3 linked regions of the Saccharomyces cerevisiae S288C genome follow. The protein of the gene in region 1 interacts with the protein of each later gene in a biochemical or structural test. Each region holds a gene or a part of one and is shown in the gene's direction. Other genes may lie near its edges. The genes, in order: FHL1, CRF1 and IFH1.

Region 1 (11,476 bases):
CCCGATACAGCAAAATATCCTTTTAAATTTGAACCTTTCCTCAGGCAAGAGTATTCGTTTTCACTCGATCCTGACAGACCTATTTGTGAATTTTACAATTCTAGAGAAGGCCCTAAATCATGTCCGAGGGGACCGTTATGTCCAAAAAAGCATGTGTTACCAATATTTCAGAATAAAATTGTTTGTAGACATTGGCTTCGAGGGTTGTGCAAAAAGAATGACCAATGTGAATACTTACATGAATACAATCTTCGAAAAATGCCTGAATGTGTCTTCTTCAGCAAAAACGGGTACTGTACACAAAGTCCAGATTGTCAATATCTACACATAGATCCCGCTAGCAAGATACCAAAATGTGAAAATTACGAAATGGGATTCTGTCCTCTGGGGAGTTCTTGTCCTAGACGGCATATTAAGAAGGTTTTCTGTCAAAGATACATGACCGGATTTTGTCCTTTAGGGAAGGATGAATGTGATATGGAACATCCACAGTTCATAATCCCAGATGAAGGTAGTAAATTAAGAATTAAGAGAGACGATGAGATAAATACCAGGAAAATGGATGAAGAAAAGGAAAGGCGTTTAAACGCAATTATAAACGGTGAAGTTTGATCTATGCATGGCTGGGGGTTTTCGATTTCATAGACATGTATATTATCATATATAGTTACTATCGAGTATAGTTATGAGATTTTCTAGAGGAAGTCTATCAACCAGAATTCTGGACAATAATGCTAGTTCTGACTTCCAATCCTGGAATAAATCGTTTCTTAACATGTTTAGATTTATAGGATCTTTTTTCAAAAGAGCATTTATCAGCCATTGGGACTGCTGTATAGATGAACTGCCAATACCTGGAGAGGATCCATGCGACACTAACGCCTGAAGTTCGTTGTAAGGCTCATGCTGCGATATAAATGATAAAAGACAAAGCCCCACGGCATACAAATCCGATTCAAATGTAGGAACATGATCGGAGGAGCTATCAATTAGTTCTGGTGCACAGTATTCTACCGTGGTATTCAGATCTGTTGGTGTTTGATTAATGTGAAATGCCGACGTAAAGTCAGCAAGGTAGAAGTCAAAATCCTTACAATGGCCTCCATTAAGAACATGCATTTCTGTTATTAAAATATTTGCTGTTTTTATATCACCATGAATTATACCATTTGTTTTCAAAGATTTTAATGCGTCTATCATTTGCTTCATAAGTCTCCACCATATTTTTCTTTTTGTTATCAACGAAAGCTTATGTGACACTGCTGTATTGAAGTGATATAAACTCATTTCGCATTTCGGAAGAATAAGGCCAGGAACACATTCGTTGGACCTCAGTCTTCTAAAATGGGATTTAGTTATGTATGTCAACCCATAGAATGGAATAATATGACTTTCATTGGTTGAAGGACTCATGTACTGGAGATATGCTAGCGTCAAAGCTTCCTGTAAAATCACCTTGCTTTTATGCTGTGATTTGGCAAACTTTAAAACAACCCCTGAATCGTTGTTACATCTTGATGAAGCACTTGATGATATAGGGTACACATATGAATAACTTCCCTGTCCCACTAATTTGTTAGACGGAAGAGAATAACTTGGATTTGACAAAAAATCCATCTCTGGAGCAAGTAATATGCCCATCAAAAACTCATCCAGAAATTCTAGGGAAGAAACTGTATTAGAAAGACGGAACATTAAAGCCAAATTCTCCGGAGAGTAAAACCGGGGGGTAGTGAACAATACGTCTAAATCGTTCTTTAGGTGCGCCTCCGAGGTAGCAACGGGCGCCTTACTAGAATAATCTGTCTGGAATGCCTCACTGAATTTAGCTGTCGGCTCCTCTACAGGAGATACCAGATGTGAATATGCGAAGTTACTTTTATGTTTTTGCGGTTGGCGATAAGCAAAACCCTTACTATTGTTACTTATGGATGGAAAGGAACCATCAGAAACCCTGGTGACGGGTGACGTAGGAGGTGTACTGTTCATAGCGTGACGTTTGAGAACTAGTCTTTGAGATGTGTTTTAAGACGATTTTTGCTGTTGATGAGGTTAGATCCCCGTTATATAAAGGCAAGAATCTATTAGCAGCGCTTTTTGTTTATTCAATGCTAGTCAAAATAAACAATAAGATAGACCCATACATCACAATCTAGCTGGTTTGCGATCATGTTGATTGACACATTATATCCTTGCTAGGGAACATAAATTTTCGTCATAGGCTATACAAGCAGCTGAGATATAGTGAAGGAGGTAAGCAACTTTTGAAACACATTTACGATCTTCTAACCTTATTAACTTGTTGCTTTAGCTTTTAGAACTCCATTTACGTCACTTTTTTGAATTTTCGCCTGTAAAGGAATTGTGAAAAAAGTGTGGGATAGAGATAGAACATAGAAAACAAACCAAATTCGTTGGGACAGCGAAGTAGCGCAAACTAACGATACTGTATTGTCAGGCTCTAAAAGGGTGAAGTTTTGATGGAAGGGCAAAAATCGAATGCATCATGGGAGAGCTCGATCATCGAGGGCCAATTGTCTAAAAATCTAGCAAGGTACACCTTGTTATTAGACAAATTATCGACACTATCTCAAATAGACAAGCTGTCTGAAGTGATAGCCAATGATTACGCAAAACAATCTAAACAATTAAATGCATTTGTGCAACAGTCGCAATCATCGCTCAACAAAGAGTCCCGGAAATTAGAATTGCAAAGAACTAACCTTACGACTACTTTGACTCAGTTTCATGAGACTGTGGCCACCATTTCTTCTTCGAACGCAAGAGCAAAAGCTATACATGACGATATTGAAACTGTAGATCAGGAACGCGCTTTGGTCAACAAAACGTTACAATTTGTAAAAGACGTCAGGACGCTAAAGAATAATATTTCACTGGCGCATTCTGCTTTAGAAACAAAGGATTACTTAGTTGCTGCGACAGCAATCAATGAAATTAGAAGCCTTCCGGATAAAAAACTTATTGTATCCGAGTTTGCCAAGAAAGTTGTGCCCTCGAGTGAAATTCCCGAAGAACCAGCTATACTAATAAAGAATTGGTGTAAGGAACTGACAAGTTTATTTCAGGAGCAATTCATGGAAGCAACAAGAACACAGGATATTAAAGAGCTAACCTTAATGTTCAAAATGTTCCCTATGATTGGGCAGGACGTACTTGGTTTAGACCTGTATTCCAAATATGTCTGTGATATTATTGCGGACGAAAGCAGGAAAATTATGTCGAATTCTATGGAAAACAGCACCAAGTTTCAAGGATTTTTTTCACAAGTACTGTTACATCTTTTTAAAATTGTATCGACCATTATAAATGATCATTCAAAAGTCATCGCCACGTGTTATGGAAAAAAGCACATGGTGCATGTCATGGAAAAAGTAGAAAAAGAAGCTGATCTTCAAGCTAGTTTGATTCTAGATATTTTTATGGAGACGAGGAAAATAGAAAGGACTATACATGATATAAATGAATGGGAACATTCACAAAAGAATGAAGATGTGAATATAGACAGTAATCAGTCGGATATCGAAACAGACGGAGAAACGGAAAAGAGCTCAATTATATCCATTCATGACTTGGCATTATTGATAATGGAATTTTCTCAAATACTTCAAAATTGGTCCATGTATTCTAGATTTTATTCAGTTAAATGGAATGAATTTAGCGATTTGCATCCGCATGTATTGCAACCACCTCCACCAATAGCAGATGGTAAATTTGCCTTAAAGTTAAAGCAAGATAAGGTCTTTGATGAGTTTCAGGTGTTTGTGTTGAACCATCTGCAGAGATCATTTAGAAATAGTATTTCACTAGAAGAATTACCGTCACTGAACGATCTTATAACTGCTGTTCCCCTCAATGACCACGATAACATTTCATACCCTGTAACATCTGTTTTAGATGACTTAATTTTATTAGTTCGGAAAAATCTGATATCAGTGGTTAATACTGGCCAGTTTAAGCTCTTAGCAAGTTTTTTGAACGAGTTGGTAAAATTTTTTCAGAACCGATTTCTGGTAAAATTTATGCAAAACAAATTTAAGTTACTACAATCGAAACTAGCCTCCAATGTATCTTTGAAAAGATACATTCCAAAAGGTGAGGAGCAATCTGCAACATCAAGATCGGTTTCTCCACCTGCAAATAAGTTTTCTCCGCTAAGCAGGTTCACTTTTAGAGGGGCAGCAGCTAGCGCTTTGACAAATATTCAATCAAATTTACAAGCCGTAGTTGCAGAGGACGAGGATTCCATTCTTGCGTTGCACCATTATTTGATATATCTGAACACGTTGTACTTGAGTAAAGTATACGTTCACAGGCTGTTATCCATAGAAATATTAGAAGACGATTCGCAAAGGATTTTGAGAGACAATTTCCCTTTTGACAATGATGCAGCGCAGTTACAGAATTTAATTATAAACTCAGAAAAATTAGTCCTGGAACAAACAGATAAGCTAAGCAAATGGGCTGTCAAATACTTGTTCCAAAATATCCTACAAAATAGGGTTCGGAACTTATTGGGAACTGTTTTTGTTAATTCAGCCTCATCAAATTCCTCAACGTCCAATCAAAAAAATGTGTCTCGCGATTATTCTGCAGGTTCGAACCAAAAGAATTACATCACAAGCATAGAAGATTTCGAAGATTTGTCGCAAATTAACAGTTTCAATAGCAAATGGAACCAATTGATTATCCCTTACAAAAATATTCTTCACAACGAAGCATATGCAGAGTTGCTATCTGTCATAGTCGACTACATCGTAACAACATTGGAGCAAAGAATATGGACTCTAGAATTCAATGAACTTGGTGTTACGAAATTAGATAGAGAACTGAGCCTTTTCATCGGCAATATGTGTGGCTTGAACTATAATCTCAGAGAGAAGTTCTTGAAATTGACACAAATCGTGTTGCTTCTCGGTTTAGATGATGACAATTTTGATTTGACTACAGGTGATATCAAGGATGACTTCAATGGTACTTTCGATTGGGTGATAAACTCTCAGGAAAGAATTAAAGCTAGAAATATGAAGATTGATAGAACACAGTAAATATAACATAAGCTTTACGAGCTGAATACTAAGTAGTTTCATATAAACGCAAACATAATCTTGGCTGTTGTACCTTTTCTGCATACTCTTGACTGTTAATACATTTCTTATTTTTCTTATGAAAGAGCACAACATGATAGCGCCATACTATCATTCTGAACGTTGCGATTAACTGGAAATTACGAAGACTAAGACAAGAAAAATTAAAAGCGTTAATAAAAAATAAACAAAGGAACCTTTGAAATATATTCCGTCACCAAGCTAAGAAAGGAGTAGCTCTTTCTCTAAGGCCAACTTTGTCATCCTTTGAGTTAGTTTAAAGTCTATTAATATTTGCTATTATCTTCTGGGCTGGATAAATAGGACTTTTCTATTGGCACATTTTTTTCTCTTGTAGAAGGTCATCACGAATATTAATTTTGTATTTGAAAGCATTTTATTTTCTCCTTTTTTTATTACCATAATATACCTGGTACTGGTTTTTACCTGATTTAACGTCTAGCCGCTCAAAACAAAAACCCACTCATATCTATACAAATATAAGAATAAGATGGATGGGGAAATGGCAATAATAGAAAGCAGCAATCATGTCGGGACTTCATCGCCTACCACTGAAACACAGTTTACTATAGATTCTTCCGCATTGAAAGACCAAGAAACCAAAGAAAGCATAACAAATTCACCGACAAGCGAGGTACCGATTGAAACAAAACTACCAAAAAGTTCTGATATAGTAACAGAGGAAAAACATCCTCAAAACACGACTACTGATATTGAAAACGAGGTAGAGAATCCTGTTACAGACGATAATGGAAATTTGAAACTTGAATTACCTGATAACCTTGATAACGCTGATTTTTCGAAGCTACTGGAATTTGATGCAAAAAATGATGAAGCTCTGTTCAACTCAAATGAGTTGTTATCCCACACCATGGATCCTGTAAATAACATCGATTTAACTCATGATCACAGCAGGGAGGTTTCATCAAAAGAAGATATCAATATAGAGCCAGTAAACCCTGATGAGGACGAAAGGGAGAAAACTCAAGATAACACAGCAGCAGTGAAAACTGAAGGCATAAGGAACTCAGAAGATACAAGTATACAAAAGGATGAACCCACTGCTGATGCTATATACACAGATGTGCATAAATTATCAGTAAACAAAGATACCGAGACCCTACCAACATTAGTAGATGAAAAAAACAACATGCTGCATATGAGAAACAATTCAATAACGCCAATAATGTTTCAGCAGCATGAATTAGTGGGACAACCGCCACAAAACACTGTAACGGAAAATAATAGTACAGATGCTGAAACTACCCAACGAAAACTATCTGAGCCAATCGATGCAAGTTTACCGCTACCGAATGAACAACCGACTATCTTCGCCTATGCAAGGCTGGACTTTCAAAGTTTCACATTTTATGTACAAACATTACATGCAATAATCGGAAGGAGGTCTGAGAATGACTTCTCCCACAAAGTTGACGTTAATCTTGGTCCTTCAAAATCAATATCGAGGAGACACGCCCAGATTTTTTACAATTTTGGGACAGGAAGGTTCGAATTGTCCATAATAGGGAAGAATGGTGCTTTTGTGGATGACATTTTCGTTGAAAAAGGAAATACTGTGCCACTTCGTAATAAGACAAAAATTCAAATTGGACAAATTCCATTTCAATTTATTTTACCAGAACAAGAACGTAACGACGATAGCAAAAGCCCAGAAAACGCTGACATAGCAGAATCTGAAATAAATACAAGAAATCTCAAAAAAAACGAGCCCAAATCTAAGAAAAAGATTACAACTGGAGCAAAGCCCAAGAAAGCGCAGACCAAACCAGCTGTTAAGAAAGAAAAGAAGCCACCGAAAATACCAAAGAAAGTATATACTTTGGAGGAGATTCCAGTAGAATATAGAACGAAACCTACTGTATCTTACTCTGCTATGCTAACTACTTGCATACGAAAGTACTCGACTGCCAAGGGAATGTCTTTATCTGAAATTTATGCAGGAATAAGAGAACTCTTCCCCTATTATAAATACTGTCCTGATGGGTGGCAAAGCTCGGTAAGACACAACTTATCGCTAAATAAATCTTTCAGGAAGGTTTCTAAAGAAGGCAAAGGATGGTTATGGGGTCTTGATGAAGAATATATTGCAGAGAGGGAACGACAGAAAAAGAAACAAAGTGAGATAGCTGTGGCAAAGGCACAAGCTGCACAATTAAAACTTGAACAGCAACAGCACAAACTTCAGCAAGTGCCGCAGAGGGGCAAAAAAGATATTGTTTCGCAGAGATCTAACGTTAATGCGAGAAAACAAAACATCTCACAAACTCTTGCAGCAAACAGAGCCGCCTCGAACAGGAAAAATACAGCAAGTGATAATCAAAGGACAATGAAATATCTGCAGGAACAGCTTGTCATTTTAACACGAGATAGAAAGGGTTTATCGAAGCAGGTCATCGCTGCAATTTTGACGCAGGCTCTAGCTATGACAATAAATCAGGTTACACAAGCGGCAAAAAACAAGGGGATTACTGGTAATCCACTTACAGCCTTGATGGACAAGAATCCTCAGCATTTGAATCTAATTTTAGCAGCTGCTGTAAACGCGGCAACTGCAAAAGTCACAAAAGGTGAGGTAAAGCAATTAGTGAACCCTGAAACTACAGCGGCGGCGGCTTTAGCAGCTAAGGCACAGCATTCCAAACCGATACGCCAACCAATAGTCCAGACGCCGCATGTACCAGATAGGCCTCCATCTCAGTTATCTGCGTCGGCATCATCCCATCCCAATAATTACTTGCATGATAAACAACCGGGATCGTTTGATCCTTCGTCCTTGTCTCGATTTTTTCAACCGAGACAAAATGCTAGGGCTACATCCTCTGTGGCAGCTACGTCAGTTCCGGCGGCTGCTTCTCAAAATGTTGATGCACAACCCAAACCTAAGCCTGCACAGGACAACGACTTAGAAAGTGAAAGCGGCACTAGTAGTAGTAGCAGTTCCAGTAGTGAGAGCGGAAGCGAGAGCGATAGTGGTAGCGATGACGGTAGTGCTAGTGGAAGCGGCGATAATAGCAGCACTAGTAGTGAAAGCGAAAGCGAAAGTGATAGTGGAAGCGAAGTAGATGAAAAGAACAACAAAAACGAAAAGATCGATAGTGAAAGTATTAAAAACAACGAATCTAAAGATGATATTCCATCTAAAGACGAGAATAGTAGCAATGATAATCGCGAGATTTCAAAAACCGACGAAGAAGGTCATGATTCTAAAAGGCGGAAGGTCAGCGAGGATATCAACGAGGGTATCACTGAAGTAAATGTATCCCTTGAGGAAAAACTTTAAAAAATTTCGATAATAGTATTAGCATATTCGAAGTAGAAGCATAAATCTTTTCATAAAGATAGATCGGATCAAGCCATAGTAATAGGTATGAATCTATGCGTCCTATTCTGTTTTGCGTTGTTGAGATTCAGTCTTCGATTTTTACAAAATTTTCCATCGGGTCGCCTCTACAACTACTTATTCACTTCGTTTGATTTCGGGTTTCACTTTTTGTTTGCATTGATGGCGTCTGTCCTCATATTACCGAACAATACTTAAAGATATAATTATATAAAAATATATAGATGTGATGATTGGAAACATGAGAACTGGACTTCCTTCATAATTCTATGGGAAGCCATATTGGATCCTTGAAGAGAATAATGTATCATTAATATAGATGTGCATATACATATGTTTGATGCTTCTATTTAGCCAATAACGTTGTTGAAAGATCCTTCCTCTTCCTTGACCTTCCAAAATAGTTCACCTACGTCATGATTACCGTGATATATCCAACCATCCTCGGTAACATGATATAAATTTACAGAACCACCAGAGTAAGCATCTCTATGGGCAGCAGCTAAAATAGATCTCTTACCTAGATATAAAGCATCTTCAACGGATAAATCCCATTTATAGTTAGAGTCTAGAACACCATATGCAAATGTTTGACCTGAACCAACGCAGAATATGTCACCTTTTAATCTTGTACCGTCTGAGTCGACGTAATAAATGGTTGGGCCCTCCTTCCTAGTGTAACCACAGATCATAGTACCCATTGATAAACCGGCCCCTTTATATTGGTATACTAAATTGCTTAAAATCTTGGATGCGGCTGCGACAGATATACGTTCCTTTTCCCTCAGCTCGTGCAGCCTACACTGAGAACCTAGCCAAGTTTCCCAAAATTGACAATCTGCCGCACCACCAGCCATTGTACCCAATAAAAATGGGTTGATCTCAATAACTTTCTTCACAGTTTGAGAAGCAACCCAATTGCCGGCAGTGGCACGAGAATCTACTGCCACAATAATACCGCCTTGAAATCTAAATGCTAAGGTTGTAGTACCATGTGCGATCTTGATTTTACAGTCTGGGTTTCGTGAATCATCTGTGTGTGCTCTTAAAAACTGCTGTGGAGACGCAATTGGTGGAACCGTAAGCGATGGTGCCAAACGTTGAAACTGGGAGGCGCCCGTTACGAAATCGCTCTCTAAGTTTTGTTCGTTGTCATATTGAAGTTCCTTAACCAATCTGTTTGGTACACTGAAACTATCGGCAATAGCTTGCATGTTTGTTTTTTTTTCCTTCTTTTCTTTCTGGTTTCTTTCTATCTATTCAATTTAATAGTAAATTTGTTATTCTCTTTTGAAAATTGATATATTGAAGCCTTTCTTTACAATTCACCTTGCATTATTGAAGGAGTGCTATTCTTCGTTTTGCCACCCTTTTGCTGTTTTCCCTCATATCACATAATACCCGGAGAGGCTCTTTCCTGCGACAGCGCAACATCCAACCATCCTAAAGGTATGGGTGTACTGACGATGCGATTATTTCATTAAGTTCTGTCTTTTTTGTATAAATGAAAAAAGAACGGTGAAATCCATAGAAATACAGAGAGCGACGCAAACAGCGCGCAGACTCTACGGGTAATAGACTCACATCCACGTGACCAGTTTCCAATCGAACTTTTTCACTTTGCAGGGAATTATTGTTTCACTAGCAAAGGTAGCCCACTTACCACTCAGCTATGCGAAAGTTTCATTGTTTGATACATCTTGATAGTAACCGCAGGCTTCTTTCTTAGTTCATATTTTATTGTATTTCAACTAATATTATTTTTTTTTCAGTGGAAGGGAAGGTGAACCAAGAACATACAAACATAGCCAAAGATGTCTGCCAAAGCTCAAAACCCTATGCGTGATTTGAAGATCGAAAAGTTGGTCTTAAACATTTCTGTTGGTGAATCTGGTGACAGATTGACCAGAGCCTCCAAGGTTTTAGAGCAATTATCTGGTCAAACTCCAGTTCAATCCAAGGCCAGATACACTGTCAGAACTTTCGGTATCAGAAGAAACGAAAAAATTGCTGTTCACGTTACCGTCAGAGGTCCAAAGGCTGAAGAAATTTTGGAAAGAGGTTTGAAGGTCAAGGAATACCAATTGAGAGACAGAAACTTCTCTGCTACCGGTAACTTCGGTTTCGGTATTGACGAACACATTGACTTGGGTATCAAGTATGACCCATCCATCGGTATTTTCGGTATGGATTTCTATGTCGTCATGAACAGACCAGGTGCTAGAGTCACTAGAAGAAAGAGATGTAAGGGTACCGTTGGTAACTCCCACAAGACAACTAAGGAAGACACCGTCTCTTGGTTCAAGCAAAAGTACGATGCTGATGTTTTGGACAAATAATTTAATTAGTTTGTGAAGAAATATAATACATTTATATACTCATATCTATGTTTTTTTTGTAACCAATTAATAAAATTATGAATTTTAAACCAAGATGAAACTCTATGTTATTGTACATGCGCGCTAAGGACTTCTATGGCGAGCGATCCAATATCCTTCCACGATTTGCCGCCACATTTATAATAATAAAGGTCCATTGCGACATTATAACCTCTTTCTGTATATTTCCAAATCGTTAATTTGTTTCCTCTGCTGGATGTTCATTTCTTCCACTATAGTACACGTTTGACGAATATAATCATTATTAATTCTCCATTGATTCGATACCGTTTGCGGTAGAAGTGTATCCAAAACTATTTCCTGATGTTTTAAATAAGAATCTACAATTCCTAACAAGCTAACTTCGGAAGACTCGTTCGGTATGTATCTGGAAGTATCAATCCTCGGGTATTTCCTTCTATACTCTTCCAAAAATAAAGTATCATCGTCGTCATTAAAATCCGGTGTTCGCCTTTTTTTGTTATTACGTTGTTTCAAGTATTCGGTGTACAATGCATTTGTAAGCGTAGAAACACTATTATCGGCCCCCTTTCTCTTCGCAAGTATACCTCGTATTTCGGGATGAACAGGCTCTCTTTTTATATTCGCAA
Region 2 (9,887 bases), on another chromosome or scaffold:
TTACCCGGCCATAAAATGAATAATAATAGTGTATGAAGACTGTGTTGGAAGATGTTATGGTAGAAGCAGAGGCTTCCGCACTGCATTTAAGAAGCATAAAGGCACTTCTGCTATTTCATTAAGAAGATTCGCTATGGTGAGCATGTTCTCATTATTTCTGCTATTAATTGAGCAATCGCCGCTTGTAGCGTCATTGCAACAAAGTCAACGGCATATAGTGGGTGTTCCCTGGGAAAAGCAGCACTTGTATGACTCGAATGAACCAGATTTGACTAAATGGCACTGTTTGAACCACGAAGATATCGTATTGGATATAAGCCAGATTAATGATGGGGTTTGTGATTGTCCTGATGGTTCAGATGAGCCCGGCAGCGCCGCCTGCGTGGAAGATATATTCAAAAGCGTTGCAGAGGGAGGTGGTAAAGTGAATAAGTATTTTTATTGTGATAACAAGGGGTTTATTCCAAGATATATACGAAAATCGGAAGTCGCAGATGGTATTTGTGACTGCTGTGACTGTTCTGACGAGCTACTTTCTGGATATGAGCTCTTTGATGCTGGATCTAATTGTTCTCAGTTAAAAAACGAATTTGACATTATGGCCTCTAAAGAGTTATCAAGTTACCGGGAAGGTAAAGAGGCCCTAGAAGAACTGGAAAGAAAATACGGTACAAAGGAAGAGGCTATCACCCGTGGTAATTGCTTAGAAGAAGATAAGGAAAAAGCTTCTGCCGAGATAAAAGTACTCTCCAACAGGCTCTCAGAAAATCGAGCCAAATTAGAGCAGTTGAGAGGCGAGTACTTTAACCAATTAAGCCATGATCCCATTTTGTATCAATTTGAACAATTAAACAGTACTCGTTTGGGATCGGACATCCTTACATCGTTCACTATGGTTTCAAGAGTAAGTAAAGGTTACCAGGACATATTCAAGATTTTAAGTGATTTATCAGAGGCCTATACTCCCTCGCTAAATGATAAAGTTGTCAATGATAATATTAAAAAATTCAGAAAAGTTAGAAGACGGGCTGAAAAGGCTAAAATTAATGCAGATAGCAAAATTGATGATGAGCAGGCAGATAATCTTTACTTGTACTTTACAGAAGAAGTACCTCAAATTTTTTTGAAAAGAGAATCTGAGAACACGTTGAGGTACGTCATAGGAAAATCCAATTTTGTTCAAGCGCTAGTGGAGGGTAAAATTAACTATACCAACGATATCTTGGAGTATATCAGAGAATTCCGTTTGATTATGGATGATATTTCTCAGAATTACAATGTTAACTTTCAAGATGCAGGGGTCAAAAGTGCTGTCGATTCGTATAAAAACTACCTAGGTGAATACGGCGAACTGGCTGAATTAGAACCAGCTCACCCGTCAGAGAGCCTTTTGAGATCGTTGAGCGAAGTAACATCATTTGTGAACGAGAATGCACCAAAGGTATTGCCACCAGACGCTGTTGAGTCAGAACAAGATACGAACAGCGATCATATCGGTACTTCTGGAGATTTGCGCAATAAACTCAAAGAGATTCTATCTAAGCTGAATATTTTTTCATCTAGAAAAGATTTGGTCTCATTAGAGAAGAGATTCCGCTCTTGTGAAAGTCAAGTCAGTCTCCTGGAGAATGAATTAAAGCAAAAAATGGACTATAAGAAATTATTAGATGAAACTGAAGATGAAGGAACTAATTCTACTGCAGGAAATCTGACTGAGCTTTTAGAACTAATGGGATCACAATCCTATTGTCTTGACGACATACTGGACAACTATGTGTACACTATATGCTTTCAACGTCCAATGACCGAAGGTGTCATATATCAAGCTGAGGATAAGGTTGACGGTAAAAAAGTTTTGATCGGTCGTTTTAAGACATCAGGTTTTAATGTTGACTTAAACATGGAAAAATACGCAGAACATTTAAAGGCCACATATGATGAGAAGAGTGATTTGATTTCAAACTTAGCAGCTATACAGGACGATGACGGTAACATGCAACATTACGTATTCGGGAACTTAAACGAACTGAATAATGGTCTGGTACTAGAATACGAAAATGGAGACCAGTGCTGGAATGGTCCGCGCAGATCGGCTACTGTATTTGTTCGGTGCAGCGACAAATTCAAGATTCGGAGTGTACATGAAGCGACTAAGTGCAACTACATCTTCGATGTCGTTGGTCCTCTAGGCTGCAACAAGACTTTCGAATACGAGCCCCCTAAGTTCAATTTAAGTGAATGACTGGAAAATGAGTAGTTAGGCTTTTTTAGTAAGTAAACAACTAGGAAGGCCGATGCTGTGCCGTGATACTCTTTTCCGCAACAAAAGCAATATTTCCCTCGGCCAAAACGCGAAAAGACGATAAATAAGTATATCGTTCCAAATACTGATAGTTCTGTACGACCTGTTGGAATAACGCGAAAAGAAGGGTACGGCGTAATCACCCCACACGGCTTGTATTTTTTTCGGAGAACTAAGTCATAGACGTAATGCTAATTTTTCCGTCTAGCCGATGTTTATGCGGCTTTTATTTTTTTTTTTTTTTTTTTCTCATCTTTGTTCTTCCGGTTTCCAAGATGTCTCACAGATTATTACAGTGAATTCCAAAATCATGTTTACTACTGGAATTTGTATGCATATGTTTTGGCAATCTTAAGCCTACGGATTTTAAATGTGATGGATATAACGAACAGTGTTTACTGGAGACTCACTTCTCTGGGCTTGAGTTTACGATGTATAGTCATATAAAAATGAAGAAATTTCTTGAGTGACAATTGCCGCCGTACTTCGTATTGTCTTTTCTTGACAGTGAGGGCGTATAAGATACATCGTACATACATAGAGACTCATTTAGTGATGCTTGAATCGAGCAGTGATAAGATAAAGTTTGCGCCTATTAAAGAGGTAGATTACAAAAAACCGGTAAGTAAGAGTAAGAACTATACTCTTATTAATGACATCCAACCATTGGAGTGGTATTGTCACAATGATAGTGAAACGGGCTACCAACACACCATAAGTAACAAGACAGATGGTGGTAGAGGTTTATTCAGAGTGATGAAAAAATCGATGGAGACCAGAGTCGAGACCCAAACGTTATATTTCACAGATTTGCATACAGGCTTGTGTGGATTTGTTCAATTACTGTATTCTACGGTTATGGGTGGTATCTATAAAGGCTTCCAATTGAATTTCAAGGTTTTTGGCTCAGAAAGTAATAATACTGACTACGACGTTTGGGAAAGTTTTAAATTGGATGACATAGCTGAATTTCAACCATTAAAGTTTGTCTCTAGAAATGTTATTTTTGAATTTTTGAGCAACAAAAATGAAAAATTAGGTTCCATTGGCCAGTTATCTATCAAATGTGATTTACCAACATGTAACAATACAATTCAAAATTTGAAAATCGATTTGTTGGTGGATTTGTTTCAAGGTTTTAAGATGAACCCCAACGGTTGCAATTATTATTTTGACAAACAAATCTCGATGAGTGACGAATTCGTTTCCTCAGACAAAATGATCAGACATGTTTTTGTGCCCAGAGGTAAATGTAATGGTAATATTTCCTACGATAAAAAACTCAATAGTGGGGACTTTCAAAATAAAAATATTTCATTAACTGATGTTCCTGTCGTTTATCTGGACGCTGTTCAAGGTCTTTTGCCGAATAAAGCAGCCAGTAAATGGAATTTCCTATGTTTTCAGAGCGAAAACTACTCTGTTTTAGCAATTGAATTCACTACTCCTCGAGATCATGATAACGTCACCGTAACAGTTTGGTCAATTACTGAAAAAAACAAACTGATATCTATTGGTTCTTCTGTGCAGAGCCCAAAACGTCATGTTAGGTTCCGTGCTACGAGTACAGATAAGGAAAGCGGCTGGGTATATCCAACCTCTATCAAGTTCCCCGGTGGATTTTCAGAACACGACTTGAGGCTGGTTAATCGATACGACGTTCTCGGTGAGTTACCAAGCATGGTCAGGTCGTTAGCTCAGAAAATTGTGAGCATCAAACCTTTCATTTATCAATACTGTCAACCTTCTAAATATAAGCACGAGAAAGGTATTTCTATCGTTGAGAGCACCTTCATTAGTTGAACAAAAGCGTGAACACTTCCACATGAAATTCGTTTTTTGTCCTTTTTTTTCTCTTCTTTTTCTCTCCTGTTTCTTCTACCAACTTTACCTAATAATTAATGTGTAATCGAATTTTTTTACATAATCACTACCTAATAACTAATTTATCATCACTTTTTTTTTTCATTTTGAGGCCACACTTTCCCCCATGGACTATTGCATCATTGCGCCATGCTTCTTACTTGCGTAAGCCATAGAACGGAAATATCATGTTCCCCTTGCCGCATGCATATTGAAAACATCACGGGAACGAGAAGAATGGCATTTTCGAAATAAAAAGAAATCATATTTCAAATGTTGGGGAGAGAAAGCAAAGGGGAATCAATAATCATTAAGGGAAGTCGATGAAAGTTTCCTTTTCCGAACTCTACCTCGCCTTATATAAAACCTTGGTCTAAACGGATAAACCGAGATGTAGTTGAGTTTGTGAATCCAGTTCTTGTCCTTCTTCCTCTTTCAAAAAGTGAAGCAATCAGTTGAGAGTGTAGCTATAGAGGTGTGTACTCTAGAAATCAGACTTTCATAGCAAGCAGACTTTTTTTTTGTTGAATCTTACTAGCGGATTTTTTAGAGTTTTCTTCTTCGGACTAATCTGTCAATGGTTCCAGTAAGATTAATGAGTCAAAAGCCCTCTATAATTGTATCGAGAAATTTCTTAAAAGAAGGAATATAATTATTGCGGTCACTAGAAAGTTATAAGAAGGTTACCATTTAACTGAACAGCAGCGGTATAGTACGGAATAAAAAAGTCTTTTAAAATGTTGCTTAGTGCGCCTGTTAACAGTACCGTGCGGCGCAAGCCACACAGTCCAAATAAAAAAAAGCCAAAAGAGACAGGTACAGCTGCTTCCTTTTCGTCGTCCTCTTCAACTGTCGTCCTTTCATCCAATAATGATGGCAGCTTTGATGCTCTTTGGGACCCCTCTATAAGTAAGGCCTCGGATTTTGAGAGTAGCTATATTAGTGCTAAACGATTAAAACCAGAAAGTAGTAATAGACAGAAAAAAAAAAATTCTTATAAATATTCTAGGGAGGAAAACACCAACGAGGTAGAGGAAAAGACGTCTCTTGGCAGCAGCTCTAAGACAGAAGCAGATAATATATTTAATGACCAGCTCACGTCAGCTGGCAATACTACATATGTCAGTAATAAGCGCGATGTAAACTTCGGGGCGAATTCGGCTGTAGTACTGCTCGGTTTGCCAACAAGTAAAAGTGAATCTCACCGACAATACCACAGTCCTTCGGCTTCAACAACTAATGAAGATGAAGAGGACATTGGTGTTGATATTTTAGTAGACAACCACATCGATAGTTGCGAAACAGTATCGATAAATAATAATAGAGGTATTACACACCAATATCCAGAAACGGAATCAGATGTCGACTTTGATGAGGCCGTGATATTGACACCAATGGATGGTACGGATAAGGGAGTGAAAAATCCAAGACCACTCGAAAAAAAATATAGTAGCAGTTGTTTTGAGGACCGTACGCCCCTTAACTTGGATGATGGTCATTTCAGTGAATGCAATCATTTTTCTACATTAGATGTGTCTAGCTTTTTTCATCTCAACGAGCATGTGCATAAAATCGACGAAGTAGAGCTCGATGGACCTGATCGCACCTTTAGTCTAGACAACGTCGCTATTAATACAAGGAAAAAGGATATTGATTGCCTCTATAATAGTTCAAGAGAAGACTTATCCAACCTCACATGTTCTTCGGAAGGCCCAAGGAATGATAGTTATGATAGTGATTACAACATTGATGAGGTCACTTATAGAGATGATGAATCAACAGATGAAGACGAGAGCTTACCAACCCCAGATCGAAAAAGGAAGAAAATTGGCCATAAAGCTTGCGAAATATTGGATTCTAAAAGAATTGGAATAAAAGTACCAAAGTTATACGTTTGGTCTTTAAGTGATAAACCGTTTAGTGTTATCGATGGGTTGTGCACAAAATCGCTGTACCCATTGAGTGATGACATAAATACTCCTGAAAGTTTGAGCTCATGCTCAAGCTCAGTAAGTTCACGGGAAAATCAAAAAGGAGATGCAACATTTGATAATGATGCTATGATAGCCGACCTTCTAAACATAGGCGGACTCGAAGTAGAGAAGGCATCCAATGGCCATATTGAGCTCATAGGCGAGTGATTATTTGATATTCCAGAAGAATCATTATCGTCTTTTAAAGGAAAATATGATCGTTTGCGAAAAAATAGAAGCACTTTACTACTTGAATTGTCATAGAATAGTAGGAAAACCTACTTAGTCAGCGAAGATCAACTTGGAATATCGTATGATGAGATGGAGAAAAATTTAGGGGCCGAAATGGATGGATCCACTTGAGAGAGGATCAAGGAATACTGAAGTGCAGCTGACGATCCAGTCAGCGACATCTGTCTTTTTTTAATTACTATTGCTGTGTACTTATAGAGTCGGTGGCATTTATTTTATTTTTAGTATTTTTTTATACGTGCGTATTCTATTGTTCATTTTTTTACCAATTTTTTTTTTATTTTTATATTTTGTTTCTTGCGTGGAGTTTTTACAGGAAGTTAATCACAACAGAGGGTTCAATCTCCAAGGCATAAAATAAACAAAAATTGTAATAGTTAGCAACTGCAATACGAATTAAAATTTGAGGAAAAATCTAGTATTGTTCACACGAGCCAATGCTCTGAAGTTTCGAAAGCTAATAAATATCATGTGGAAACTTTTCTGAGTCATTAATAAGCAACACTATTTATTCTTCTTATAATTAGTCTTACAAGTAAACTGCCTTGCCGCATAAGCGCATTCCCTCTATGAGACCATTTGTAATTTCGAGAACACAATTTTACAACCGAGTAAATATCTTATAATCATTAAAATTATTAAACTATTATACAATTTTTTTTACTTTACTTTAATTTTTATATACCCATATAAATAATAATATTAATTATAACCAAAGGAAGTGATTTCATTATGCTTGAGTAGAGGAAGAGTACTTGGTAACAGCTCTAGTACCTTCAGAGACAGCATGCTTAGCCAATTCACCTGGTAAGATCAATCTAACAGCGGTTTGAATTTCTCTAGCAGAGATAGTAGACTTCTTGTTATACGCAGCCAATTTAGAAGCTTCAGTAGCGATTCTTTCAAAGATATCGTTAACGAAAGAGTTCAAGATAGACATGGACTTTTGGGAAATACCAGTGTCAGGGTGAGTTTGCTTCAAAACTTTGTAAATGTAAGAAGAGTATGTTTCCTTTCTAGCCTTGCTTCTCTTCTTACCATCAGTGGAAGTGGAAGTCTTTTTAGCGGCTGGTTTCTTTTCAGCTGGGGCTTTGGAGGCTGGTTTCTTTTCGGCTTTAGCAGACATTGTATGTGTGTATGGTTTATTTGTGGTTTGACTTGTCTATATAGGATAAATTTAATATAACAATAATCGAAAATGCGGAAAGAGAAACGTCTTTAATAAATCTGACCATCTGAGATGATCAAATCATGTTGTTTATATACATCAAGAAAACAGAGATGCCCCTTTCTTACCAATCGTTACAAGATAACCAACCAAGGTAGTATTTGCCACTACTAAGGCCAATTCTCTTGATTTTAAATCCATCGTTCTCATTTTTTCGCGGAAGAAAGGGTGCAACGCGCGAAAAAGTGAGAACAGCCTTCCCTTTCGGGCGACATTGAGCGTCTAACCATAGTTAACGACCCAACCGCGTTTTCTTCAAATTTGAACTCGCCGAGCTCACAAATAATTCATTAGCGCTGTTCCAAAATTTTCGCCTCACTGTGCGAAGCTATTGGAATGGAGTGTATTTGGTGGCTCAAAAAAAGAGCACAATAGTTAACTCGTCGTTGTTGAAGAAACGCCCGTAGAGATATGTGGTTTCTCATGCTGTTATTTGTTATTGCCCACTTTGTTGATTTCAAAATCTTTTCTCACCCCCTTCCCCGTTCACGAAGCCAGCCAGTGGATCGTAAATACTAGCAATAAGTCTTGACCTAAAAAATATATAAATAAGACTCCTAATCAGCTTGTAGATTTTCTGGTCTTGTTGAACCATCATCTATTTACTTCCAATCTGTACTTCTCTTCTTGATACTACATCATCATACGGATTTGGTTATTTCTCAGTGAATAAACAACTTCAAAACAAACAAATTTCATACATATAAAATATAAAATGTCCGGTGGTAAAGGTGGTAAAGCTGGTTCAGCTGCTAAAGCTTCTCAATCTAGATCTGCTAAGGCTGGTTTGACATTCCCAGTCGGTAGAGTGCACAGATTGCTAAGAAGAGGTAACTACGCCCAAAGAATTGGTTCTGGTGCTCCAGTCTACTTGACTGCTGTCTTGGAATATTTGGCCGCTGAAATTTTAGAATTAGCTGGTAATGCTGCTAGGGATAACAAGAAGACCAGAATTATTCCAAGACATTTGCAATTGGCTATCAGAAATGATGACGAATTGAACAAGCTATTGGGTAACGTTACCATTGCCCAAGGTGGTGTTTTGCCAAACATCCATCAAAACTTGTTGCCAAAGAAGTCTGCCAAGGCTACCAAGGCTTCTCAAGAATTATAAGATCGGTTCTGGTATTTTAAAGAAGGCGGAAGGAACTAAACTGCTTCTCCATTGTAACTATATTAAGTGTCTATTAGACCTTTCTGTTTTTCCTTTTTATTTTTCTATATATAATTTATTGGGTATATAATTAACGGTAACATATGTCATGCATGATATAAATTTTTTGTTGTGTCTTCCTGTTTTCTCTGTTGCTCTGTTTAGGTTCATTGGGCACTGTTGCTTACTTGAACATGATTGAGTAGCAAACACATTCTGTGCTTTGTTCACTTTGATAGTGTGACGAAATTTTCACAACCAAAGGAAAAAAGCTCACGATTGCGCGATCCTGTCACGGAGAACTGTCCGCAGCAGCCCGCGGCTTCTGTCCTTATTCGCCCATTTTTTTTTGATTTTCGACTTTTTCACTCTGGCTAGTTTTATTACGCATATTTGTATATATATATACGCATAAATTTCTGAAATGGATTACCTGGTTTATCAGAAACGAGAGCTTTAATAAAGAAACATTAACGTTTCTCTGGTAAAGTCACCACACAGCATCAAATATAACAGTAATGTCTAGCTCAGAATCCATTAGAATGGTCCTAATTGGCCCACCTGGTGCCGGTAAAGGTACTCAAGCTCCAAATTTGCAAGAGCGTTTCCATGCCGCTCACTTGGCCACTGGTGACATGTTGAGATCTCAAATCGCAAAGGGCACTCAATTAGGTTTGGAAGCAAAGAAAATTATGGACCAAGGTGGTTTAGTCTCTGATGACATTATGGTTAACATGATCAAGGATGAATTGACCAACAATCCAGCTTGTAAGAATGGGTTCATCTTGGACGGTTTCCCAAGAACCATTCCTCAGGCTGAAAAATTGGACCAAATGTTGAAAGAACAAGGAACTCCTTTGGAAAAAGCCATCGAATTGAAGGTTGATGATGAATTGTTGGTTGCCAGAATTACCGGTAGATTAATTCACCCAGCCTCTGGCAGATCCTACCACAAGATCTTTAACCCACCAAAGGAAGACATGAAGGATGACGTCACCGGTGAAGCTTTAGTTCAAAGATCTGATGACAATGCAGACGCCTTGAAGAAGAGATTAGCTGCTTACCATGCTCAAACCGAACCAATTGTTGACTTTTACAAAAAGACCGGTATCTGGG
Region 3 (11,637 bases), on another chromosome or scaffold:
CAAAAACCCACTGGTTTTCTGGTGTTTCTATCAAATCCGGCCATAGGGTCCTTGCGTTAAACCCACTCGATGCTGGTGGTGGTGATGCATTGCTCGTTGGTTTTGGTACAGCTTGAAATTTTTTCACGTCACCACTTGAAGATGTAGCAGACATTATCTTACTGTAATATATTTTAAACGAAAATACTACGGCCTCCTTCAATATGTGTATATAATTACCAATCAAAATAGCTACTTGCTTTCTAACAGAAATAGTGATACTTTTTAATCACTTTTCTTTTTTTACTGAACAGTGAAAAATAGAAGTCACAATGAGACCTAGGTCAAAAAGCCATAATGAATAGGGTTTGCAATAAAAAAGCTTTAAACGATAGGTCTGTTAAAGAGGATAAATAGGTTTATCATGTATCATTTGGTTTTTTGGGATAGGGCTTGGCAAAAACCATAACAGGGGAATGAGATTTTATATATAAATAGACAAGATAGATACTAAAATAGTGACGGATTCTCTCTAAATATTCGAGAAATTTTCAAAATTTTAGGGCAACGAACAGTTTAATTAACATAAAAATCATAGAGCAAAGAAAAAATGGCGGTTGCGATCAAAAAGGAGAAGACGAAATTTGCCCCCGTTAAGGAAGTTTTATCCGAGAAGGATCATGCTAATTATACTAAATTTCAGGATACATCGAAACTAGAATGGTTTTGCAGGACGTCAAATCACAAAAAGTTCAAGTCACATAGTTTATTAAAAGCAGTAAGAAATCCAACGGAAACAAGAATAGAGACACAAACTCTGTATTTTACGGATCTCACCAACGGCAAATGTGGATTAATTCAACTATTATATTCCAGTGTTATGGGCGGTATATACAAAGGTTTTCAGTTAAATTTCAAAATATTTAAAGCCAGCAGTGAGGAAAACTCTGAAGAAGACATTGATATATGGGAAAGCTTTAAAATTGATAATATCAAAGATTTTGATACGTTAAAAGTTGAATCGGACAATGTTACGTTTCACTTCGTACCTTTGGAAAATTCTTCCTCCAGTGGATTTGCTCAATTATTAATTAAGATAGATATTCCGAAGGGAAGTACAAGCTGTTTACTAAAAGATTTGAAGGTTGACATTACCGTAAATTTACAAGAAGGATTCATAATAAACCCGGACGGTTCCAATTATTACCTTGACAAGAGCATCAGCTTGGAAGAGTTAGCAAAAAGAGACTCTTCTAGTACGTCCAGAAAAATGATAAGACATGTTTTTGTTCCTAGAGGTTTTTGCAATGGTACCATCTCATACAAGAAAAACGATAAACCTGTGAAGCTGGACTTGAAGGACACGCCTATGTTGTATCTGGATGCTGTCCAGGGGCTAATACCCAATAAGGCGGCTAGTAAATGGAATTTTCTTTGTTTCAATGGTGAGAAGCGTTCGATGATGTGTATTGAATTCACCACAACAAAAGAATATGGCAGCACTACAGTGACTATATGGGCGGTTAGTGATAAGGACAAAATTTTGGAGGTCGGGTCAAGTGTAAATGATCATGCTGTTAAATTTCCATCTACAAAAGAGGATAAGCAAAATGGTTGGAAATATCCTACATCCATTTCATTTCCGCGTGGTTTTGAAGAATCTAATTTAAGATTAGTCAATAGGTACGATATAATGAGTGAGCTGCCCGCTTTCATTAGGTCTATTGCTGAAAATCTGGCAAACATGAAGCCATTCATTTACCAATTCTGCCAGAAGTCTAAATTCGATGACGATGAAGGAGTTTCCATCATTGAAAGTACATTTATCAATTGAAAAAAATGAAATTTGACTATACATATTTTCATCATTGCAAGAATATTATATCCATTTATAAGTAGGTAGGTGCATAGACGTATATACACATATATTATAGACTAATTGATAAATTTTTTTTTCATCTTCGAAGATAAGGGGTATTCCAGTTGGGCAATGCTATTTCTTGACCAAGATCTTGCTTTTGTTCCGGATGCTTGTAGACGAAAATTCTTATCAATTTGGATGGCTTGTAAGGTAAACCGTGCCCAATTATCGTGTCTCTAGGAAATGAAATTTTCTCTTCAGATTGTAAGCAGGCCAAACTCCATGCAAACTGGTATGAAAAAGAACATTCACTATAGTTGAAGATTGCTTCAATGCTATTTACGGGTTCGATTCTAAAGAGTAACCACGGCTTCGATATCTGATATGGAATAAAGTCATAACCGAGTAGAACTAAATCACCATTGATACAAACATCTGAATCTGTCCTGTCGATAGCTTTCAGTTCCAGGGGAAGATGTGTCGTTCCAGTGCCTTCAAAAATTTGCTCATCGTATAGCCTGGGAAGGTGGCCTAGGTTAACACAGTATATTCCTTCAGATGTTATCAATTCGTTGATATATCCTGCACTTGCCACGATCTGCTTCGGCCCATAGTTGCATATGCCTATTTCCGTAATAATTTTCGGTATGTATCTGGCAACGTGCGCATTTTTTACATAAAACCAAACGTTTACCGGTGTAGGCTCGTCCTTCCTCCTGGACCAAAAGTTAACAGGTAAAGCTGTCAACGACTGCATAAGAGTTCTTTCCTTGGGCCGACTATTAAAGTTACTGGTAGAATCAGAACCATTTGAATCTTGACTTTTGGTATATTTGTCCCATCCCATATTAATTATCTTTCCAGGATATTGCAGCGCATTGTATACAATATACCAAGAATCTGCGATGTATTTAGTCATGCACAGTGGCACATTAAAACCTGGTTCCTTCGTTTCTTGAATGATTTCTCTGGCATGCTGTCGAAGTGGGTCCAAACTCTTGACATATAAACATAATGAATGTTTGACAACGGCCCATATATAGTTGTCCTCAGCTATCCACGCCAAACTCTTCTCCTTATAGCTGTGGTTATGCAAAACGTAGAAGTATTTATTGACAGCACGAAGTTCATTAGGCACGTACTCTAGTAATGATAAATGTATCTCCAGTGGTAAATCCATCAAGCTGCTATCGCTCTGATTCATCTCTTGTTTGCACACTCTGTCTTCTTTGCGCCAATAGGCATAGTACAAACAAAAAAACGAGCCAAGCAAACAGCGGAAACTCTATTAAAGGTTATGCTACCTTCCGATAGTGATAATATTATGAGAAACTCCAATGTAGATCTACTTGTCTGAGATGGCCTTTGATAAAAAAATCAATCGAGTACGCAATAGAGGGGCAGAGACTTTGAAGAGCAAAAAAAAGAAAAAGGAAATTTTCAGTTATTGTTCCGATTTTTCCGTGTGGGGTTCGGGATGCCTAGTTGTTCCGTAATGCGATTGAAAGATACACTTAACTAGGAGGCTGCTAGTACGCGACCCCTACCTACGTATTGCAAAGATGTTTGAAGTATCAACGGGTGTAGAACTTTGCAATCAAGCAAAAGCTAGATAGTTCCATTATGAATTGTGACGATGTTACCCGTACTGCCTACTACATCTCTTTATACGGATTGAAATCTCTAAAGGTTGCCCTGCCCGTCGTTTCTTTTTCGTTGGAATTCTTTTTTTTTTTTTTTTTTTTTTCATCTCATCACTAAATTGATTTAAAGTACAACTAGGGAAAAGAGACTAGATAATAGGTGCTTTACACGTTTTGACGTTTAGCTTTTACGGCTCTTTAATTGACTTGCTGTAAGTATTTGTATAATCATTGGTAATATTTGAATACATTCGAAACACTTGCTACAAGAAATTAAAAGGAGGAACTCTTCAAAAGGCTATATTTAATTACTGCTTATTTATTACATTCCTCCCTTTCCACAATTCTAACATAGGACAAACCTATAATATTTTTTTTAACTTCGGTGAGCATCATAAGCAATAACCATTTCAAACATAGTAATATTCATTCTACGAAATTCATTTTCAAGCTTGTTGAAATTGAAGGAAATTCAACAAGGAAGCAAATAAACAAATAAGGAAAAAACAACCGGCAAACTGGAAACAGAACGAAATGGCAGGCAAAAAAAGTCCTCGAAAAAGTACGATCAATCATAGTACACATTCTGGTAAACTGCCAGCAAATATTAAAAGGCTCATAAAAAAGGGCGAATCCGATACAAAGTCCAGGCAATCACCACCCACACTGAGTACAACGAGGCCAAGAAGATTTAGCCTTATATACTCTTCTGAGTCATCCTTGAGTGACGTATCTGATTCTGATAAAAACAAAAGTACAAACCCACATAAAATTAAAAGAAAAGCAAAGAACATTTCAAATAATTCCCAAGGAAAAAAAAGTAAACTTATACAAAGGCAAATAGACAATGACGACGAGGGCACAGAGTCATCCGATTACCAAGCTGTAACAGATGGCGAAGAGAGTGAAAATGAAGAAGAAGAGAGTGAAGAAGAAGAAGAAGATGATGACGAAGACGACGACGACGATGATGATGACGGAAGTGATAGTGATAGTGATAGCGAAACAAGTTCTGATGACGAGAATATAGATTTTGTCAAACTGACGGCCCAAAGAAAGAAAAGAGCCATGAAAGCTTTATCTGCCATGAATACAAATAGCAATACACTCTATTCCTCTCGTGAGAACAGTAACAAAAATAAATCAGTTAAACTATCCCCTAAGAAAGAAAATGAAGAAGAGCAGAAAGAAGAAAAAGAAAAAGAGAAAGAAGAGCAACAAAAACAACAAGAATCAAACAAAAAAGAAGTAAACGGTTCAGGCACTACTACTACACAACAGGCGCTATCGTTTAAATTCAAAAAAGAGGACGACGGCATTAGTTTTGGTAATGGTAATGAAGGCTATAACGAGGATATAGGTGAAGAAGTCTTGGATTTAAAAAACAAAGAGAACAATGGTAATGAAGAAGATAAACTGGATTCTAAGGTGATGTTAGGTAACAACGATGAGTTACGATTTCCCAATATTTCAGAGTCAGATGAATCTGAATATGATATTGACCAGGATGCGTACTTTGACGTGATTAACAATGAAGATTCTCATGGAGAAATTGGTACAGATCTTGAAACGGGGGAAGACGATCTTCCCATATTGGAAGAAGAAGAACAAAACATTGTTTCTGAGCTACAAAATGACGACGAACTCTCATTCGATGGTAGTATACACGAAGAAGGGTCTGATCCTGTAGAAGATGCTGAAAATAAATTTTTGCAAAATGAATACAATCAAGAAAACGGATATGATGAAGAAGATGACGAAGAAGATGAAATAATGTCTGATTTTGATATGCCGTTTTATGAAGATCCTAAATTTGCAAATCTTTATTATTATGGCGATGGTTCAGAGCCAAAGCTATCCTTGAGTACATCTTTACCGTTAATGCTAAATGATGAAAAACTATCTAAACTAAAAAAGAAAGAGGCCAAAAAACGGGAACAGGAAGAAAGGAAACAAAGACGAAAGCTCTATAAAAAGACGCAAAAACCTAGTACGAGAACAACCTCCAATGTGGACAATGATGAGTATATTTTCAATGTTTTTTTTCAATCAGATGATGAAAATAGTGGCCATAAGAGCAAGAAAGGCAGGCATAAATCGGGCAAAAGTCATATTGAACATAAGAATAAAGGCTCGAATTTGATAAAATCCAATGATGATCTGGAACCATCCACTCATAGTACGGTCCTGAATTCCGGGAAATATGATTCTTCTGACGATGAATATGATAACATTTTGTTGGATGTTGCCCATATGCCTTCAGATGATGAATGCAGTGAATCTGAAACGTCCCACGATGCTGACACGGATGAAGAATTGAGGGCACTAGATTCAGATAGCTTAGACATTGGCACAGAACTGGACGACGATTACGAAGACGACGACGATGATTCCAGCGTGACAAATGTGTTCATAGACATCGATGATTTAGATCCAGACTCTTTTTACTTTCATTACGACAGCGATGGATCTTCCTCTTTGATAAGTTCTAACTCAGACAAAGAAAATTCTGATGGATCCAAAGATTGCAAACATGATCTCTTAGAGACTGTTGTGTACGTTGATGACGAATCCACAGATGAAGATGATAACCTACCGCCCCCAAGTTCAAGGTCAAAAAACATTGGCTCAAAAGCAAAGGAAATCGTAAGTTCAAATGTTGTTGGATTACGTCCACCAAAATTGGGTACTTGGGAGACGGACAACAAACCTTTTAGTATTATTGATGGTCTGTCTACTAAATCATTATACGCCTTAATCCAAGAACATCAACAGCTTCGCGAGCAACATCAAAGGGCTCAAACCCCAGATGTTAAAAGAGAGGGAAGCTCTAATGGCAATAACGGTGACGAATTGACACTCAATGAGCTGCTAAACATGAGTGAATTGGAGGATGATTCACCATCCCACACAGACGATATGGAGAACAATTACAATGATGCAATTAATAGCAAAAGCACAAATGGCCATGCTGCAGATTGGTATGAAGTTCCTAAGGTTCCATTATCTGCATTTAGAAATAAGGGTATTAATGCCTATGAAGAAGATGAGTACATGATACCAGCAAATTCTAACAGAAAAGTTCCCATTGGCTATATTGGTAATGAAAGAACAAGAAAGAAGATTGATAAGATGAAAGAGCTACAACGGAAAAAAACTGAAAAAAAAAGGCAGTTAAAGAAAAAAAAGAAGCTTCTTAAAATAAGAAAGCAAAGACAAAAGGCAATAAAGGAGCAAGAAACTATGAATTTACAATTGGGAATCAATGGCCATGAGATCATCGGTAACAATAACAGCCATAGCGACATAAATACCGGTACCGATTTTACAACCAATGAAAATACCCCTATGAATGAACTTCCCTCTCACGCACCTGAAGATGCGTCATTAATACCTCATAATTCTGATCTTGCCGTGGACAGCAATACAAGGAAAAATTCAACAAAAAGTGTTGGTTTAGATGAAATTCATGAGATTTTGGGCAAAGATGAAAATGACTTACTGTCTGTAGGTGATATTAACGGTTATGATGCACAAGAAGGTCATGTGATCGAAGATACTGACGCCGATATCCTAGCATCGTTAACCGCTCCTGTGCAATTCGACAATACATTAAGCCATGAAAATAGTAATTCCATGTGGAGAAGAAGGCAAAGTATGGTGGAAGCAGCGGCTGAAAATCTTCGTTTCACTAAAAATGGTTTATTTAGTGAGAGTGCATTGGCAGATATCGAAGGAATTATGGGCAATGATGTTAACCATTCATTCGAATTCAATGACGTCTTACAATGAGCTATTTTGCATTTTTTTATGGTTACTACAATCAAATCACCTTTCGTTTACAATATCATCATCAGTATGTGACTTTGCCTTATTCTACTCTGAATTTTGCTTTATCGTTGGTTGAAAAGAATTACATGTTATTTTTTTACTTATATATGCATATTTTTATAGAAAAACACAATCAATATTTTTTTTACTGGTATAATCCGTCCAATCAGACGTATAAAAGTAAATAAGCCTCAAGCAACCCCATTTGATGGATTGCCTTACTCTTCGACTCTAGTTGAGATGATAACCTCATCCACTCTTCTGGCGATTAAGATGGAGCTTCTTAATATATCCGTGTAAAGCGACTGAAAATTTTCTGAAAAATTCAGCTCATCGCTCTCAGATATAATAGCGGTATGGCATTAAAGGTGTGAACCAACAACATAGTACTCTCAACGGTAGTAAGCCATACTACGTACAATATGGATCTGAAAACCTCATATAAAGGTATATCGTTAAACCCTATTTATGCAGGAAGCAGTGCTGTTGCCACTGTTTCAGAAAATGGTAAAATACTAGCTACTCCGGTGCTTGACGAAATCAACATAATCGATTTAACCCCAGGCTCCAGAAAAATTTTGCACAAGATTTCTAATGAAGACGAGCAAGAAATTACTGCACTGAAATTAACTCCTGATGGTCAATATCTCACGTATGTTTCACAAGCTCAGCTTTTAAAAATCTTTCACCTTAAGACCGGGAAAGTTGTCAGATCAATGAAAATCTCTTCTCCATCGTACATTCTCGACGCAGATTCCACTTCAACGCTTCTCGCAGTCGGAGGGACAGATGGTAGTATAATTGTTGTGGATATTGAAAATGGTTACATTACTCATTCGTTCAAAGGTCATGGTGGTACAATTTCCAGTTTGAAGTTTTATGGACAATTGAATAGTAAAATATGGTTATTAGCATCCGGTGACACCAATGGTATGGTAAAGGTTTGGGATCTTGTTAAAAGGAAGTGCTTGCACACATTACAAGAGCACACATCTGCTGTGAGAGGGTTGGATATCATTGAGGTACCAGATAATGATGAGCCAAGCCTAAATTTACTTTCCGGTGGTAGAGACGATATCATCAATCTCTGGGATTTCAATATGAAAAAGAAATGTAAATTGTTGAAAACACTTCCAGTAAATCAACAGGTAGAGTCATGCGGATTCCTAAAGGATGGTGACGGTAAACGCATAATTTATACAGCCGGCGGTGATGCTATCTTTCAGTTAATTGACTCTGAATCTGGTAGCGTGCTTAAAAGAACCAATAAACCTATAGAAGAGTTATTCATTATTGGTGTACTTCCAATATTGAGCAATTCACAGATGTTTTTAGTATTGTCTGACCAGACATTACAACTAATTAACGTTGAAGAAGACTTAAAGAATGATGAAGACACAATACAGGTCACTTCGAGCATTGCTGGTAATCATGGTATTATTGCTGACATGAGGTATGTTGGCCCAGAGCTGAATAAATTAGCTTTAGCTACCAATTCTCCATCGCTTAGGATAATACCCGTCCCCGATTTATCAGGCCCAGAAGCTTCGCTGCCTTTGGATGTCGAAATTTATGAAGGTCATGAAGATTTGCTAAATTCATTGGATGCTACTGAGGATGGCCTGTGGATCGCAACCGCCTCTAAAGATAATACGGCTATTGTTTGGAGATACAATGAGAACAGCTGCAAGTTTGATATTTATGCCAAGTATATTGGTCATTCAGCTGCCGTAACTGCTGTTGGATTGCCAAATATAGTTTCAAAGGGATATCCTGAATTTTTATTGACAGCATCGAATGATTTAACAATTAAGAAATGGATAATTCCAAAGCCAACTGCTAGTATGGATGTTCAAATCATCAAGGTATCCGAATATACTCGTCATGCCCATGAAAAGGATATCAATGCTTTGTCAGTTTCTCCTAACGATTCTATTTTTGCAACAGCATCATACGACAAGACCTGTAAGATCTGGAACCTAGAAAATGGTGAATTGGAAGCCACGTTGGCCAACCACAAGCGTGGACTATGGGATGTATCATTTTGCCAATATGATAAATTATTGGCAACTTCTTCAGGTGATAAAACAGTCAAGATATGGTCATTGGATACATTCAGCGTTATGAAAACATTGGAAGGTCATACCAATGCGGTTCAAAGATGTTCGTTTATTAATAAGCAAAAACAACTGATCAGTTGTGGTGCTGATGGCTTGATCAAAATATGGGATTGTTCTAGCGGTGAATGTCTGAAGACTTTGGATGGTCATAATAATAGATTATGGGCTTTAAGTACTATGAATGATGGTGATATGATCGTAAGTGCTGATGCAGATGGTGTTTTTCAGTTTTGGAAAGATTGTACGGAACAAGAAATAGAAGAAGAACAAGAAAAAGCTAAATTACAAGTCGAACAAGAACAATCGCTTCAAAATTATATGAGCAAAGGTGATTGGACAAATGCATTTTTGTTAGCAATGACTTTAGATCACCCAATGAGGTTGTTTAATGTTTTGAAAAGAGCTTTGGGCGAATCAAGGTCTAGACAAGATACCGAAGAGGGCAAAATTGAAGTCATTTTCAATGAAGAATTGGACCAAGCCATCTCTATCCTAAATGATGAACAGTTAATTTTGTTAATGAAACGATGCAGAGATTGGAATACAAATGCAAAAACACATACCATAGCGCAAAGAACAATAAGATGTATTTTGATGCATCATAACATAGCAAAATTGAGTGAGATACCCGGAATGGTAAAGATAGTTGATGCAATAATTCCATACACGCAAAGGCATTTCACAAGGGTTGATAACTTAGTTGAACAAAGTTACATATTAGACTACGCGCTAGTGGAAATGGATAAGCTATTCTAGGCAGTAAGTCCAAGATATTGAGCCTTTAAAAGCAAGGCAATAGCAACATATTATTTTGTAAACTAGATATATAAAGACAAAATGCATTGATGAAGCGGAAAGCTTAAAATAATTCGATATATAATTAGGTGCCTTTACGGGCATTGAAAACTTCTTTGCGCGAAGAGCTCATCACTAAAAATTTGCAAAAAACGAAGAGCGAAAACTTTCATATATTGTAGTAATATATACAAGAATTTAAACTGCCCACTTGAAATAGCACGGAAAGAACTAGCCATAATATATTATACAGGATGTCGGCAGGTGATATATCAGCCATAAATATCAAGTCTGTCAAAAAAAACAGAAGGAGGAAGAAGAGAAGAACAGCTGATGTTTCATCATCAGATTCTTCATCATCGGATCCATCATCAGAAAGTGAAAAGGAGGAAATCCAAAATGGGGCCATCGAAGAACACGTTGGAGAAAATGGTAAAAGTGATCATGTTTTCTCAAAAGGTAATGACGAAGACAAACAAGAGGACATTGCAATAGAAGTTTCGGATGTCGAGCTTACAGACGAAGAAAGCAAGGATTTGAAGTTAAATTCAAAAGAAGTGATAGACGATTTAACCAAAATTTCTTTGAGCAAGATCCCAGAGCCTACGAAATCTCAAAACAAGGAGGGTTTTATGAATGCATCGAAAATTGCCGAAAATATCAAGCTTGCGAGAGAAGAATACAATGAATTGGCAGAAAACTTTGTGCCCAAAGGGAAAGACAAGACAAAGTTAAGGGAAGAATACTTAAATTTACTTTTTGAAAACTACGGTGATGATATCAATCGTCTTAGAGCTGCCCCGGATTTCACGAATAAATCACTATCCATTTTGGCAGATGCTCTGCAGGAAGGCATAGGAATGTTTGATATTGGTGAACTAGAATTGGTCTTGAAAAATAAAGAAATGGAGAACTGAAAAATATTGCTTTAAATCTTTTTCTAAAAGTTTGTCATGTTTCCGCGGAGAATATATTGACGTGCACATTAATTATTTAGATAATTCTTCGATTTTTAATGAAGAGCGGTCCTGATCCAAGTTGTGCTTCATATGGTATAAAGCTGATTCCAGTATACTGCACGAGAAGTATATGTATGTATTTTGTAATTTATATAAAGGCAAAAAAAAGAAAAACACTTGGGCATAATGGAGGAGAAGATCTTATGACCTGATAGTCAAAGAGAAAAAGAAAAAAGCAGAAGGAGCAAAGAAAGGCGGCGACCAAATGACGAATTAGATCCAATGAAAAACGATTCAATGCGAATAAAGGTTATCATGGATCACCTGATGGGCCTCTTGGCAATAGAAAAAGAAACTAGTTTGAAATTCATTAATATAAATAAATTTAAAGAGGAGAATATAGAAACAAATTAAAACGTAAAAGAAATGTATGTCGAGAAAATCCAGCC

Evidence for each region.
Region 2: the proteins of FHL1 (region 1) and CRF1 form a complex in vitro, tested with the Saccharomyces cerevisiae proteins (one study listed by BioGRID).
Region 3: the proteins of FHL1 (region 1) and IFH1 form a complex in vitro, tested with the Saccharomyces cerevisiae proteins (one study listed by BioGRID).

What each region holds. Positions count from the first base shown.
Region 1 is NC_001148.4:730,574-742,049, reverse strand, and holds FHL1 (Fhl1p), read left to right. Parts: upstream 1-5,616; coding exon 5,617-8,427; downstream 8,428-11,476. Other genes in the region: cleavage polyadenylation factor RNA-binding subunit YTH1, read left to right, coding at 1-612; putative protein kinase ISR1, read right to left, coding at 658-1,989; Golgi transport complex subunit COG4, read left to right, coding at 2,481-5,066; PRE2 (proteasome core particle subunit beta 5), read right to left, coding at 8,838-9,701; 60S ribosomal protein uL5 RPL11A, read left to right, coding at 10,302-10,826; SNT309 (Snt309p), read right to left, coding at 11,031-11,476. UniProt on the Saccharomyces cerevisiae protein: Acts as a transcriptional regulator that recruits coactivator IFH1 to the promoters of ribosomal protein genes. Recruited to ribosomal gene promoters by RAP1.
Region 2 is NC_001136.10:907,197-917,083, forward strand, and holds CRF1 (Crf1p), read left to right. Parts: upstream 1-4,902; coding exon 4,903-6,306; downstream 6,307-9,887. Other genes in the region: GTB1 (Gtb1p), read left to right, coding at 134-2,242; YDR222W (uncharacterized protein), read left to right, coding at 2,858-4,105; HTB1 (histone H2B), read right to left, coding at 7,121-7,516; HTA1 (histone H2A), read left to right, coding at 8,334-8,732; adenylate kinase ADK1, read left to right, coding at 9,290-9,887. UniProt on the Saccharomyces cerevisiae protein: Transcription factor, corepressor with FHL1 of ribosomal protein genes. May be involved in the blocking of the spread of silencing.
Region 3 is NC_001144.5:577,871-589,507, reverse strand, and holds IFH1 (Ifh1p), read left to right. Parts: upstream 1-4,017; coding exon 4,018-7,275; downstream 7,276-11,637. Other genes in the region: BUR2 (Bur2p), read right to left, coding at 1-154; YLR225C (uncharacterized protein), read left to right, coding at 590-1,813; UCC1 (Ucc1p), read right to left, coding at 1,935-3,044; U3 snoRNA-associated protein UTP13, read left to right, coding at 7,737-10,190; RSA3 (Rsa3p), read left to right, coding at 10,484-11,146. UniProt on the Saccharomyces cerevisiae protein: Transcriptional coactivator that together with FHL1 regulates the expression of rRNA and ribosomal protein genes. Its activity is negatively regulated by environmental stress.